3 linked regions of the Sus scrofa genome follow. The protein of the gene in region 1 purifies or fractionates together with the protein of each later gene. This does not show direct contact. Links are inferred from orthologs where the notes say so. Each region holds a gene or a part of one and is shown on either strand. Other genes may lie near its edges.

Evidence for each region.
Region 2: the proteins of SLC9A6 (region 1) and CLGN purify together in Homo sapiens (co-immunoprecipitation; 3 studies listed by BioGRID and IntAct, with this or other methods). This does not show direct contact. The link is inferred for Sus scrofa from reciprocal best matches to the Homo sapiens genes SLC9A6 and CLGN.
Region 3: the proteins of SLC9A6 (region 1) and MBLAC2 purify together in Homo sapiens (co-immunoprecipitation; 3 studies listed by BioGRID and IntAct, counting the BioPlex papers as one, with this or other methods). This does not show direct contact. The link is inferred for Sus scrofa from reciprocal best matches to the Homo sapiens genes SLC9A6 and MBLAC2.

What each region holds. Positions count from the first base shown.
Region 1 is NC_010461.5:111,174,657-111,180,261, reverse strand, and holds the start of SLC9A6 (sodium/hydrogen exchanger 6), read right to left. Parts: upstream 3,730-5,605; 5' UTR 3,699-3,729; coding exon 3,371-3,698; intron 1-3,370. UniProt on the Homo sapiens protein: Endosomal Na(+), K(+)/H(+) antiporter. Mediates the electroneutral exchange of endosomal luminal H(+) for a cytosolic Na(+) or K(+).
Region 2 is NC_010450.4:86,619,288-86,624,966, reverse strand, and holds the start of CLGN (calmegin), read right to left. Parts: upstream 3,848-5,679; 5' UTR 3,710-3,847; exon of another isoform or gene 3,660-3,709; intron 3,406-3,659; exon of another isoform or gene 1,132-3,405; intron 1,126-1,131; 5' UTR 1,020-1,125; intron 1-1,019. UniProt on the Homo sapiens protein: Functions during spermatogenesis as a chaperone for a range of client proteins that are important for sperm adhesion onto the egg zona pellucida and for subsequent penetration of the zona pellucida.
Region 3 is NC_010444.4:97,634,056-97,638,607, reverse strand, and holds part of MBLAC2 (metallo-beta-lactamase domain-containing protein 2), read left to right. Parts: intron 1-2,656; coding exon 2,657-3,042; 3' UTR 3,043-4,552. UniProt on the Homo sapiens protein: Acyl-CoA thioesterases are a group of enzymes that catalyze the hydrolysis of acyl-CoAs to the free fatty acid and coenzyme A (CoASH), providing the potential to regulate intracellular levels of acyl-CoAs, free fatty acids and CoASH.

The sequences.
Region 1 (5,605 bases):
ATTTCCTCACCTGTAAAAAGGGAACGATAGTGGCACCTATCTCACAGGGTCTTCATGAGATTTAAGTGAGCTGATATTTGTGAAGCGCCTAGCAGTGTCTAAAGATCCTGATGCTCAATAAACACCACCTATTCGGGCACCAGACTGTAAGTGTTTTGAGGGCAGGGATGATGACTCACATCGGTGTTTCCTATGGTATCTCACCCATCAAAGACACTTAATAAATATTTATTGATGAGTCACATTAGTTAAAGCTGGGACTGTGGATGCTATAGTTTAAGGCATAATAAATACTGCTTCCCTGTCTTTAGCCTTTTACACTATCCGTAAGAACACTGCAGTGAGTGATCACTTTTCAGACTTACTAACAGTGACTCACTTTTAAGCTTCTTAAGTAAGCTAGCCCAATGAACAGAACGCTTGGGTGCTTCGACATTGTGTTTGTAACTGGAGCAATTAGGCTATTATTACAATCTAGAAACTGACCACATTGGCAATTTAATCTCTCTTTTTTTTAACTCTTGCTTCTCAAAAAAATAAAGGAGAAGCTTATTCTGAGTAGCATTTTTCCAGGATTTAGGTAACTCAATCATCAGTGGGCTGAATTTTGGAGGTCTAGACATTTTCATCTGGAAGTCAAGCTGAAAAATAAAGTCCTTAAAATAATATATTAACATAATAGCAATAATGGTACAAGAGCTGTAAGAAAAGATAAATGACAGGTGGTAATTAGAAAATGTCCGTTTCCGTAGCATTGACAATACTTTGACCCAACCCCATCTATTCTCAAACTGGACTTGGGAGTTAGTCAGGAGGCTGTGCATCCGCAGCCCCCATCACCCATATTGAGAAAATGGGACAGGCTCAAGAATGCCAAGTCGTGGGAAATCAACCCGATGTGACTCCCAGATAACACTCTTTCACTTTATATTCCACAAAAGATAGCCTTGTTTTTCCTTCACAAAATACTGACACTAAGGTACGCCATCACTTTTCATTAACTTAGAAACACCAGGGAATGCAAATCAGTTATCCCAATTTTCTCCCCTAGCCCAAGACTTAGAGAAGGTTAATGATATCAACTACCAAAGAGCAAATAGCTTCAGGGCAATTCTAAGACCCTATTTGATTTTTCAAAAATATGACGTCTGCCTCTAAACTTAAAGATTAAGCAATTAAACAAACTATTCTGAGCCTAACCTGAGAAAATGCAGTTATAGCAATAATAATAGTATCACAGCACTCATTTAATGAGCACTTACTTAGGGGTCAAGTACTAAGCTAAAACATTTCTCCCTCACAACAAAGCTACTATCATTGTCCTTAATTTATAGCTGACAGTATAAGAGGGTAAGGGACTTACCTAAGATCACACAGAGCTACTGGCACAGTGGGACAGGAACCCAGGCCTGACTCTAAAGCAGGGGTTGAAAATCACAGTGGTGGCCTGTTTTTGTAGGGCGCAAGAACTAAGAATGGCTTTTATCTTTTTAAAGGTTTGTAAAAAGAAAAAAAAAAACAAACAAAGAAGAAAACGCAACACATTTTCACAGCACATAGATTGATGTGATCCAAAAGCCAACAATAATTACTCTCTGGCCCTTTACAGAAAAAATGTGCAGACCTCTGGTCTACAGCCTTATATCTTTAACCACTTCATCATACTATCTCTCTGGACAGGAAAGAGGTTTCTGCGATCAGTTCCTTATTTTCACACCATAATAATCACTTGGCATTTAATGGCATTTAAGATGCCTTTATTTTCTTTATATAACCTGTCTACCGAAGAAGGATAAGTTCCTTGAAGGCAGGAATCATATATTTCTTCACATTTTCTGTGCATAACATAGCAGGCTGAGTAGCAAATGTTTGTGGAGGACAGTAAATAAATCACACAGTTATACAGAGATGTATAGCTTATCTGGCCAATTTAGCTTAAGGAATGCTGTATAGAAAATGCAAAAAAACATGAAATATGAAAACCACCCAATACATCTAAAAACTAAGAATCTTAGGAAGCATACATACTTAGAATTTCATTACCCCACAAATGAAAAATAAGCTGGAGTTCATGCATTTTCCTGATGCACACAACAACTTTCCCCTGCTATGCTACCCTTGAGCTGCACATTCCAGAAGTCTGTATTTACTGGAAAGGGGTGGGGGTGGGGGGGGCGCATGGAGAAATGTCTTTCTGTGCCAAGGCTTCTCCCACCTATCTGCAAGTCTGAGACACAAAGCTGAGCAATCTCATCCCTTTAAGCCTGTTCCAAATGAAGATAATCTTCACTCATGCACTGCCCAGAAAGGATTGTTTGCCCTCATCTCTCCAGCCATGTATGGCCTCGCGGTCATCTTAGATTAAGACAGTCAGCAATATTCATCTTTTCCTCCCATGAAGCCCCAGCACAGGCCAAAATGCCTCGGAGTCCATGGCTTGATTTGCCTTTCTCTCCTCATGACCAAAAAATAAAGATAAATAAGAAACATCAAAAAGAAAGCACACTAGGTCACAAGAACTGAAGCCCTTTACTCAATGATCTGTCCATAACCTATGCCACCAGCGAGTCACCCATAATACTGCATATGCATGGTGTTCCTATTTACTTTTTGGCTGAACTGTCCTGCTCATGCCATAGTACAACATGCTGCTGGAAGATCTTCACCTATTCTTCACCAGGGCACGGCCTGAATGATCAGGTTCAATCATCTGTATCCATATCAGATATTGCAAGCATAGTACAATAAATCAGGACGTCATTTCAAAAGCCCTAAGCCTTCCTCAGCTTCTTTCGTGTTCAGGTTTTTACTTGGGCAACAGTCTACTTTGCATTCTCAACCTCCAAAGGACAGGGCGTAGCAAGCAAGACCTGGGTGATGGGGAAAGGTGGACTCTGGCTTCAGAAGAACGCCAGATTCAGAGCAGCAGACAGACTACTGCAGCCTCAACGGCCCTTAAGCAAACTGACACCCCCGGAGAAATGGATCGCTAGGCTGGCTTCCCCTCCCCCAGTCCCCAGCCCAATCCGAGACACCGCACCCACTCCCTTCCATCCTCAGGCAGAGGCGGGGGGCGGAGGGGGGTGCGGAAGAAAAAAGGGGGTGGGGTCGGAGGAAAAAAGGTGTGGACTGGCAGAGAAAAGGGGGGCGCGGGGGTGAAAACGGGGGTGAGGCTGAGAAAGGAGGGGCGTAGCAGAAAAAGGGGGCGAGGAAGACGAACCGGGGGGGGGGGGGAGAGGCGACGGGGAAAATGGAAGGACTTGGAAGGGGAGCCGAACGCAGGCCGAGCAGGGCCGGGAGCGGAGGTGAGGCAGCCGGCGGGCAGAGAAAGGGGGAGCGCCAGCGGGGGACACGGGGTTGAGGCACTTGCCGTAAATCATAGCCAGGCCGGTTTCGTGCAGGAAGCGGGCCCGGCGGTGCTTGAAGAGCCATATCGTGAGAATGGTGAGCGTGAGCAGCAGGATGAAGATGAGCAGGTTGGCGCTGTCCTGCCGGTGGCTCTCCTCGGCTTGCTTCTCTGACACGATCTCCTCGTCCATGGCTCTCGCCGCTCCCCCAGCGCCGTCCGAAGCCCCGGCCCAGCCGAAGACGCCCACTGCGAGGAGCAACCAGAGCGGCCGCGTGAGCCCACGGGCCCGGGGGCTGGCGCCGCCGACGCCGCGGCGGAGCGGCGCCCGCAGCCAGCCGCGCCGAGCCATGACTCTCCCCCCACCCCCCGCCCCGCTCCTCACCCGCAGCCGCCCGCGGTCGGACCACGCCCCGAGGGCTCACGGGAAAGGGGCGGGGCCTCAGGAAGCCTTCGGAGCGCGCGCCTCCGCCGCCTCCGCCGCCGCCACCGCCCTTAAAGGGGACGCGACACTCCCAGTTCGCTGGGCCCCATCCTTTTGGCCTTTCGTCCCCCCCCCCGCCGCACCAGCTCCCCCCAGGCCCCGCTGCGCCGCAACGCAAGGCCGTCGAATCCAGTACAGTCCCTTCTGGAAACGAAGCCTGGGCTCAGCGTAATCAAAGCAGAGGCAGATTGTGCTCTGTCTACTTTGATCCTATTCTTAGTGCTCGCAGGGGAATCGATCTTTCATAACCCATCTGAATATTGTCCCCCAGTGTCTCTTAACAGGATGAGACGTTGTCCTCTTGGGAGGGGCCTACATCTCCATCTCTAATTTAAATCGGATTCTCCTTGTTCTGTCCTCGTTCGGAAAAAAACAGCAGCACTGTAGTAGTTCATCAATAATTGACTTAAAGGCAAGGATTATGTGTATGTATGTTCAGTTGTCTTTACACGTAAACGTTTACCTGATGTAAGTTATCTCTTAGAGATAAACTCCTCCATCTCACAAAGATTTGATCGATTTGTGCTCAAATTTACCCATTCTCCAAATACTCCCCTCCCTCCCCAAGAAGAAATCTTTTGTGAAGTGGAGGGTTTCTCCTCTTGCTCCTCATCTTTTTTTCTAATTTTTATTATGATTGATTTAGCATTCTGTCAATTTCTGTTGTACAGCAAAGTGACCCAAACATACATATATATATATATTCTTCTTCTCACATTATCTTCCATCATGTTCCATTACAAGTGATTATGTGCTATATAGCAGGATCTCATTGCCCATCTACTACAAATGCAAGAATTTTCATCTACTAATCCCAGATTCCCAATCCATCCCACTCCCTCCCCCTGCCCCCTGGCAAACAGGAGTCTGTCCTACATGTCCATGGTCTTTTGCTTTGTAGATAAATCATTTGTGCCATATTTTAGGCTCCACATATAAGTGACATCATATGGTGTGTCTTTCTCTTTCTGACTTTACTCAGTATGAAAGTCTAGTTCCATCCATGGTGCTGCAAATGGCATTATTTTGTCCTTTTTTATGGCTGAGTAGTATTCCATTGTATATATGTACTACATCTTCCTAATCTGTTCATCTGTCCATGGGCATGTAGGTTGTTTCCATGTCTCTGCTTTTGTGAATAGTGCTGCAATGAACATACAGGTGCATGTATCTTTTTCAATGAAAGTTTTGTCTGGATATATGCCCAAGAGTGGGATTGCTGGGTCATGTGGTAGTTCTATATTTAGTTTTCTGAGGTATTTCCGTCCTGTTTTCCATAGTGGTTGTACTAAGTCACATTCCCACCAACAGTGCAGGAGGGTTCCCTTTTCTCCACATCCTCTCCAGCATTTGTCATTTGTAGACTTATTAATGATGGCCACTCTAACTGGTGTCAGGTGGTACCTCATTGTAGTTTTGATTTGCATGTCTCTAATAATTAGTGATGTTGAGCATTTTTCATGTGCCTGCTGGCCATCGGTATGTCTTCTTTGGTGAAATGTCTAGTTAAGCAGATTTCTCTAGCTCAGAAGTCACCTTTGACACCATCTCTCATTTGTCTTCCTCAAAGAATATTTTCCCTGTCCTCAAGCCTCCCTACCTCTCGAACCAGAATTTTCACCTCTTTGAGAACAGTGGGTTCCTATTTTCTCTGTTCTTAGATCATTCAGTCTTTGTGGGCTTTTTGTTTTCTCCGGACTCTCCCTAGAATGTTTTATTTCTCCCTCCGCAGAAATGAACTCCAGATCCCAAGCCTTGAGCTGCCACCCTCCCTT
Region 2 (5,679 bases), on another chromosome or scaffold:
TCAAGGAGGTTAAGTAACTTACTCAAGAAAACAGAATGCTACTAAATAGCAAAGGCAAGACTCAAAGTTAGGTCTAGCTTCAAACTCTACATTCCTTTCATCAAGGCTCTAAAGGTAGAAGAGGTTTAACAATTTAGCCCTCACTAAATGGCTCTAAGGTTCTAAGCCTATAAAACAGGTTAAATATTTTCTTAGTATGTTCCATCATTTAGACGCACATTCCAGTTTCTGTGGGTTTTATACTTTAAAAGCAATATTTTGATGTATGACCAAATTATATTTTATGCACATATATCTAGCCAGCTGGTTCAATGGCCTTTAAAAGCTTTCCAGCAAAGATTTTAAAGCAGCTTAAGGCTACATAAAAATATAAGAACAACTTCATGGTATTACTTTATATTCCTATGACACTAAAATTTTACAGTGTTCACACAAAGTTCAAGCTATTTAAGATAATACTTGCATTTTAGTTACAAAGATTAAGGATAAACAGTAAGGCTTATCACATGCTAGATAACAAATATTTCTAGGTGTCATCTTTCCTTAACAAAAGCATCTAGAAAAAAAAAATCTCCATTAACTGTGAATACTTTTAACTTCCCATCATAGACAGAACGATGACCCCCTAAAGATATCCACACCCTAAGATTTGGGTTCCTTCACATAGCAAAGGGGGCTTTTTTTACATAGAATTAAGGTTGTTAATCAGCTGATCCCAAAATTGGAATTGTTAATTAACTGACCCTAAAATTGGTAGAGTGTCCCGGATTATGCAGATAGACCTAACATAATTCCTTTTCCCTTACAAGTGGAAAATGAAGTCAGTGAGAGAGGGCAGAAGAGATATGAAGAGTGAGAAGGACTTCACCCACCATGAGGACCTTGAAGATGGAGAGGGGGCCATGAGCCAAGGAATGTGGGTGCTCTCCAGAAGCTGAAAACAAACCCTCAGCTGACAGTCAACAAGGAAACAAGAACCTCAGTCCTACAACCAAAAGGAACTGAATTCTGCTACCAACCTGAATAAGCAAGGAAGCAGAATCTTCCCAGTGCTTCTAGTAAGGGATGTCTGTCAACACCTTGATGTTAGTTTGGTGAGACCTGTCAGTCTTCTGACCTATAGGACTGTGAGAAAATAAATTCATGCTGCATTAAGCTGTTAAACTTGTGGTTATTTGTTATGGTATCAATGAAAAATTAATAATTATTCCTGTACTTGATTCTAGCTTCTTAGAAACAGTTCCTACAAACCAAGGCTTAGCTGGTAAATGCAACAGCATTTTTCAGCCCTACAGCTCAGTGCTCACTCTTGACCTTGCTGAAGCCCTGCCTCCTTTCTGAAGCCCTTTCCTCCCTGGGTGTCTATGATGCTTTCCCCACTCTTGGTCCTCTTCATTTGCTCTGACACCCTCAGGGGTTCTTTCTCCAATCTTCTGTAAATGTTGCTATTCCTCAAGGTTCTGTCCCCAGGCTTTCTTCCTACCTTATTTGTACTCCAGACTTCTAACTATAAAAGCTAGCTAAAGACTCCCAAATCTTATCCACAGCACAGAAACTACTCTTTAGTTTCAAATCACTATCCATCTTGAAGGGTGTCCCCAAACCTCCATTAATTTCAACCTGGTCTTTCCTTCCAAACCAGTTCTCTATTTCCTTAACTCCCTTCTCCCATGAACTGCCCTCCAGTCAACCAAATCAGCCAAGTTACTCTGCCATTATCTTAAGACTACTCTTTCTCCCTACATCATTGGTAACTACATGCATTTGTGTATTTCTTGAATGTCTCTTTCTGTCCCAATGCCACAGCCTAATTTAGGAATCCATCATTTCTGAAAAGGATTAGTAAACTCCCACTTTGCTTCTTCACTTCCAGTCTAGCCAAGAGATCTATCCTCCACCTTCTCTCCAGCATGAATTTTCTAAAAAGTCTTACTTAACTACCTGTTTATAAAAGTGTCCAAGAGTTCTCAGTAGTTCTCAGCATAAATTCTGCCCTTTTAGGACTAATTTCTTTCAGTCTTAAAACTCATCTATTAACACATTCATGCTTCTCTATATGCTATTTCTCATAACTGAGATGCCTTTCTGCCATTCAGTTTTATCGGCTGACTGACACTATGCCTCAAAAGCAGTGTTTGAAAAATCACTAAATTTTTTTTTGGGGGGGGGAAATCACATAAAAGTGTAAAGCGAAAATAATAATGTGTTCTTAAATCTCAAAAAAATAAAAAGTTTTAGTAGTCACACAGTTTGAACTACAAAATAAAGCTTCAAAATGAGCTTCAACTTCATAGCTCAACTACAATATGATAGAATGTAGTCTGAACATGGCACTGTAGCACCAAGTTTCATGTTCTTTTATTTAAAAGGCAAGGGTTTAAAACTGTTCCAAGTGGTTTTTTTAAGTTGTCAAGGGAAAAGGTTAAGCTAGATGATCTAAAGGTTCATTAAAGTTGATACTTCTAGCTTTTTCGTTAACAGCACTAAAACTTATTAGGTTCTGAAAACAAACAATAGTACTGCTCCATTTCTACAGATCCATTAGCACACTCATTCCCTCCCAATAACTAACTTTATCAACTAGATAATGAATACAGTCTATCTTCGAAGGATTTCGCAATAAGGTCTAAATGTGGTCTTAAGAACCAATAAGATGTGAAGACAAAACTGAAAAGAGATCAGCCGATTACCCAAAGGAGGGCTACCTCAAGTGATTAAATGACCCAGAGTGACATAAAAGGTTTAAAGCAAGCAAAATCACAAGGCTAGACCAGGATTTTGATGGCTTTTATGTATCAAAAAAATTCAACATAAATTAACTCTTCTAATTTGAGAGTTCTTTCCATGACCATTCAATTCACTTTCTCCTTTCAGAACTTAGGGGCTTGGGGCTTTTAAGTCCCAAGCAAACGCCTCCTCCTTATTGCTTGGGCAGGTGCTATAAATAAAATCAACTAAAGTATCTGATCGTAAACGGGCTTTCGGCGATAATAAGTCTCCAGTAATTAGCGCTTCGTTGGATTCAACACAAGCCTCTCGCTCCCTCCCCAGCGGCGCGCACATGGCTCCAGGGAGCTCATCAAGAGAGCGGCCCGGAGTTACAGGCCCCCACCGCTGTAAGGGTTAGGTCCCTTGGCCTTTAGAGGTGGGGAGGGCGTAGGCGCAGCCTTTTTTGGGTCTGTTCGCTTTTTCTGTGAGAAGTAGCCGACGGAGTGAGCAGCGCCGGGAGGCTACCGGGGAGCCCCCCTCTCCATTCATCCCTCGGGAACGCGCACCGGGGCTCGAGCGAGGAACCGGCCGAAATGGCAACCGCTGGAATAACCGACGGCTCCCTGGGGGCCCTTAACCCGCAGGAAGAGCTCCGGCTTGGGGGGACACCTGGAATTCCCCGCGCCAGCGCAGCAGGTGAGCACAGAAGTTCCAGAGAACCCAACGGACCCCAAGCGGCCTCAAATCCCACCGCCCGGGGCCGGCCTTCCTACTCCCGAAGCCGGGAGAGCCCGCCCAACCCCCACCCCACACTGACTGCACCGGCGTCCCCGAACTCAACACCCACCCCCTTGCTGGCCCAACTCGTTCCGCCGGCGGGTTGCCAAAGAAAGGCGTGGGGCGCAGGAACCCTCGCCTTGAGGGAAGGTTTGGGGACTCCGACTGCTCACCCCAGCTCGAGCGCAGAGGGACGCAGGAAAATAGCCAAATGACCACGCACCTGTCTTGCGGGCCTGTTTTCGGCAGTGGCAGCTCAGATGTCCCAATCGCTGCCACTTGGTCCCTGCGTCTCCCTAGACCAATCCCGCAGGCATCCGCGGAGCAGCGACTGCTAACTGCGCATGCGCGTGCGGCGGCTGGCGGGCGGGGGAGACGGCGGCGGGTGGCGCACGCCTCGCGCACCTTCACGGAGGGGCTCAACCGCCGCTGAGGGGCGCCGCTCCGCCCCCGCGCGCCACGGATGCCGCCCACCACGCGCTGCGCTGCCCCTGCGGGCCAGTTGCAGCGCGGATCCCGCTCCAGGGTTGACCTGGGAGGAATTCCCCGTTATCCATCCAAAGACTTCCCTCCCAAGGAGCGCCTGCCCCCTGCAATGAGGCTCTGCATCCTGTTGCACATAATTGGGCCCTGAATTTTATGTAAATCACGTGTGAACGGCATCGGGTTAGTATGCCAGGCCTTTCCTAGCGTTCTAGATGCTCTGAGAAGTTATTGCGGTAAGCAGGGAGGCTTAACTATTTCGTGACTGTATGTATATGATATACCTATATTAAATATTAACGTAATGAATGCATTGTTTTTTTTCTCGAAATAAGAATTGTTTAACTAATAAGAACAGCTGCTGTTAAGAACTGCTCCTGGAGTTCCCTGAATGGCTTAGAGAGTTAAGGATACAGCATTGTCACTGCTGTTATGGGGTTAGATCCCGGCCCCTCGGAACTTACTACGTGTCCTAGATTTGGCAGAACAAAACAACAAAGAACTGATGCTGTTTTATTGTGCTCGCTGTGCTCTAAGGGTTTACATTCATCTCATTTAACCGTCCCAACAACTCAGGAAGAAACTGAAGATGATTACTTGCCTTTAACTAGTAAATGGTGGAAATAGAGTTCAGATTCAGGTCTGTCTCTCTTAGAGCCTATGATTTTTAACCAACACACTAAAAATAAAAATACAGGATAAACATAGTACTGAATCACAAGCTTCTTTGCCCCACAGATGTTGGATCATGTAGCTCTTGCTACTTATGTTTTGTTTTGGTTTTTTTTTTTTGTCTTTTTGCCATTTCTTGGGCTGCTCCCGCGGCATATGGAGGTTCCCAGGCTAGGGGTCTAATCGGAGCTGTAGCTGCCGGGCCTACGCCAGAGCCACAGCAACTCGGGATCTGAGCCACGTCTGCGACCTACACCACAGCTCACCGCAACGCCGGATCCTTAACCCACTGAGCAAGGCCAGGGATCAAACCCGCAATCTCATGGTTCCTAGTCGGATTAGTTAACCACTGTGCCAGGACGGGAACTCCGCTACTTATGTTTGATAGTAAATTTTGACTTTGATTTTGGCATTATCACTATTTCAGTTTTATTGGAAGAATAAAATATTTCACTTGTGATACCTCTGTTAAAGAGTCTCAGTTAAAGGAATTGATGGTGTGCCAAGCACAAGATGTGATTATTGGCTAGATATCAAGATCATTGAGTTCCCATTGTAGCTAAGCAGGTTCCTAGGTTGTCTGTCTGAAGATGCGGCTTCTATCACTGGCCTCAAGGAGTGGATTAAGGATCCTGCAGTAGCCGGTAGCTTGGGGGTAGGTGGCAGAAGCAGCTGGGACCCAGTGTTGCCATGGCTCTGGCCTACCTCCCAGATGCAACTCTGATTAGACCCCTTGCCTGAGAATTTCCATGTGTAGATGCAGCCGTATTTCTAAACTTTTGATGCTGTCATCGTCTGGAATGTATTTGTGTTTAACTTATGGGTTTTAAAAAGACAAATTTATTTGAGGTCCTTTGTAACAATTTTGTTTTCTTAATATCTTTCTTTAGGCTTTCCAACTTCTGTTACACAACATGGAGTTCTTGTTTGGCGGAGCAGAAACAAATCTGACTAGGAACCATGAGGTTGCAGGTTTGATACCTGGCCTTGCTCAATGGGTTAAGGATCTGGCATGGCTGTGGTGTAGGCCGGCAGCTC
Region 3 (4,552 bases), on another chromosome or scaffold:
CAAATAAAGATTGATGTTTGTCATATACCTTTTCTCAATCTGTTGAAATGAATGTATGGCTTTTCTCCTTTATTTTTTTAATATGGCATAATATATTAATAGATTTTCAGAAGTCAATCCAAACTTACATTGCTGTGATAAACCCCATTTTGTCATTATCCTGTTTATAAATTGCTGTATTTAATTTGCCAATATTTTAATTATTAAGATTTTGTTACTACATTCATTAGCAGTATTTGTTTGTAGTTTTCTTTTTACATTGTCTGGCTTTTATCAGGGTGAAAGTGAATTGGAAAGTTTCCCCTCCTCATCTATATTCTGAAACTCTTTATATAAGATTGATATTTTCTCTGTCTTAAACATTGACAGAATCGATCAATGAAGCCATCTTTCAGCCCAGATCTTCTTTGTGGGGAGATTTAATTATTGATCAGTCTCATTGCTAGATATAGGTCTAGTTAGAGTGTATTTCTTTGATCATTTCTGCTCATTTGTCTCTAAGAATTTGTTTCAACTAAGTTGTCAAGTTTCTTGGCTTAAAGTTATTTCTAACATGCCTTTATACTCCCTTTAATTTCTTTAGGGTCTATAGTAATATCTCCACTTTTATTCTTGACTTTTGCAATTTGTGTTTTCTCTAACTTTGTCTAGCAAAAGGTTTATCAATTTTGCTGATTTTTTCAAAGAACCATTTATTGTTTTCCGTGATTTTCTCTGTTGATGTTTGCTCTCTGTTTCATTTATTTCTTCTCTGGCCATTATTTTTTTTTCCTTAATACTTATTTTTGTGATTGATTTGTTCTTCTTTAACTGACTTCTTAAGATAGAAACTTTAGTTGTTGATTTTAAACATTTACTGCTTTATAAATAAGCCTTTTTCATTTTGGCCACATATGTAGCATGCACTAGTTCCCAGGCCAGGGATTGAACGTACACCACAGCAGCAACCCAGGCTGTTGCAGTAACACAACTGGATACTTAACTCACTGTGCCACAAGGGAACTCCCTAAATAAGCATTTTAAGCAAAAAAAAATTTTCTTCTAAGTATGCTTTAGCTAAAGTCTATATATTTTGATATGTTTCAATTTTCATTTAGTTCAAGTGATTCTCTGATCTCCCTTATGATTTCTTCTTGGATCCATAAGTAGTGTATAAATGTGAGTTTACTTATTTGGATATTTCCTATTTTTTTAAATATTGATTTCTAATTTAATTATGTTGCCATCAGCGAACATACCTTGTATGATTTTATTCCTTTTACATTTATTGAGTTTTATGGCCTAGCCTTATAGCCTGGCAAATTTCATGTGCAATTGAAAAGTATGTATACTTAGTTATTTCAGGGTAAACTATTTTATATATGTCAGGTAGGTCAAGTTGATAGTAATGTTCAGATTGTCTGTATCCTTAATGATTTTCTATATATTTATATTATGCATTATTCAGAGAAGAATATTTAAATCTCTAGGCATAATTGTTGAACCGTTGATTCTTTTTTCAATCTTGTCAATTTTACTTTATGAATTTTTAGTCTCTGTTTTAGGTACATACACAAATTTATTTTAGATTTTTTTTCATGCATTGACCTACTGTATATCATAAAATGTACCTCTTTTCTTTAGTGATATTCCTTATATAAAAATCTATTTTTGTCTGATAATATAGCCACTCTAGATCTCTTATCATTAATATTTAATATATGGTATAACTCTTCAACCTATTTTTGTCTTTAACTTTGTAATTCCTCTTTTGTAGACTGTGTATACATCTTGCTTTTCTAGGTGGTTGGGCAATCTCTGCTTTTGATTAGAATGTTTATCCCTTTAATATTTAATGTAATTATTGCTATAATTATATTTAGGTTTGCCATTTTGTTATTTGTTTTCTATGTCTCATTTCTTGTTTATCCCTTTATTTTTCCTTTTTTGTCTTTTTTTATGTTTAGCAAATTCTGATTATTACATTATACATTTTAATTTTGCTATTTTTAGCTATATTTCATTGATTTTTTTTCTGTTTTTGTATTTTTGCACTAGTGATAACAGTATGACTCTTTTAACTTATTATGATTTACTTAAGTTAGTACTAATTTTTAAATCCAGCAAAAGAGCAATTTTGTATTAATATAGCTCAGTTTCCTCCCTACTGTCAAATATCTGGGAAGAGTTTGAGATTTTACCCTATTTGCAAGTTAGCAAGTTAGCCTGCCACAGTTTAATGGATTTTGACAGAGGACATGAGGTTCCTGGTCAGAGATGAAGAACAGTTTATTACAGCAATAGCAGTAGCTAGAGCATCATCATTTGTACTGATTCCTTAAGGCTTAATTCCCATAATGTGACCCCCCCCCAAAAGCAAAAATATAATACTGTGCACTAGAGCACCATTCACACCATTCATGAATTATGTCACTAGGATACTAGTACAGTGGATATTCTGAAAAGATTTTTGTTTTGAAGTTTTGTGGTGAAATAAATTTGAGAAACTATACAGCCGTATCTCCCTTGGGTATATACACAATGTACATTAGTATATTAAATGTACACTAGCTATCATCCTTCCCAACATCTTTGAAACCATTTAGGGTACTATGATTTAAGTGATTAAAGGCAAATATATAACATGTTTATCTGTAAATTTTGTTTCCATTTATAGGGGATGTAATTAACCTTGGTGACAGACAACTCACTGTTATGCACATGCCTGGTCATTCCAGGGGCAGTATTTGCTTACATGACAAAGACCGAAAGATTCTCTTCAGTGGAGATGTCGTCTACGATGGATCACTGATTGATTGGCTCCCCTACAGCCGGATAAGTGACTATATTGGAACCTGTGAACGTCTGATAGAATTAGTGGACCGAGGTCTGGTAGAGAAGGTGCTTCCTGGGCATTTCAATACCTTTGGTGCTGAAAGGCTTTTTCGATTGGCTTCTAACTATATTTCAAAAGCTGGGATATGTCACAAAGTTTCTACCTTTGCCATGCGATCTCTTGCAAGTTTAGCCCTACGTGTAACAAATTCTAGGACCTCAGCCTAGTATCTGTACTGGTAATCCCTTTTGATTAATTCTGTAAATTAATCCAGTTCATTTTGTGTTGTTTAAAGTAGTGAGCATTTCAAGAAGTGCTTTTATACTACTATTGTATATTAGAGGAAAAAAGGTTGAGAATGAATAAGCCAAAAAAGGAACTTCTTAGTTTAATTTTTTTTTTCTTTTTTCCAAATAAGAAACCACTTAAATAAGCTTATAATTTGCCAAAGCTTATAATTTGACATCATGTTGTAATGTTTGCTCTAGAAATGACATAGAAGTATATGGGGAAACGAGAAGCATTTTATAGTACAAGAAAGAACCATCCAGAAGTTCTCTTGTGGCGCAACAAGTTAAGGATCCAGCTTTTTCACTCAGCAACTTGGGTTGCTGCTATGGTATGGGTTTGATCCCTGGCCCAGGAACGTCCACATGCCACAGACATGGCCAAAAATTTAAAAAAGAGAGAAAGAACTATCCTTGCCTCTAATTTATTTTATTTCCTAGATGTCCTAGGAAAAAGGGCATAAAGGGTTTTATGTTTATATTACAAACTTAATATTTTTAGTATATTATTTAAAGATAAAGGCTTTGGGTTTAAAATACATTAGAACTCAAAACAAATATTTAAACTAATATTTGGAATGACAGGTAAAACAATCCATTGTTATGGTACGGAATTTTCATGTTTAATTTTATTTATTTTTAATGTAATTATAGTGTACATTATGTGTTGTGTAATTTACTTACAAAAAGTACAATGAGTTTTGTTTTATTGCAAAGCTTTAAATATAAATTGCAGAGTGCTTCAGTAAAAAAGCTACTATATATTGTTGTTTGTTGTTATGTAAGTGTAATATTTTTAATGATAAAAGTGAAATTCAAATGTCTGTCCTCTACGAATTGTCAAATTTCTCAAAAGGACACTGTCAGGCAAATTTGAAAATATACACATTGAGAATAATTTTTAAATTATATCCTATTTTAATAATAATAGCTATTATAAACAAAAATTTTTTGTTAAATAGCAGCTTCAGTATATGTGTCATATTTTATAGTACCAAAACAAGTACAGAGATCTACAACATCCTGATATAAACCATTCTTTTACTTAGCATAACATACATATGAACCACAGCAGGCTTTTCAAATTAATTGCAAAATGTGCATTAGATATGGACTTAGAGTGAATTGCCTTTTTTATCCTGATTCACAACACCTATTCCTGTTCAGTATTCTTTGTCTTAAATGAAAAGAAGTCTACATTTATAAAGTTATAGGAAAGGTTATCCCACTATTTAGTAAAATGTTTTGGTTTGGTGCTCTTAATAATTTATTAAAAAGCTTTTTGGAATATTTCATAAAGGTTTTTCAAACAATTTTTCAATGCCTTTTTATTATTGACATGTCCAAAACCAAACTTAGATAGCTTTGGAAATCAGATTTTTTAGTATTAGGAAGGTCCAGTTTGATTTCTGAAAAATTATGAAATGTTTTCTCCCCTACACCCCACTCA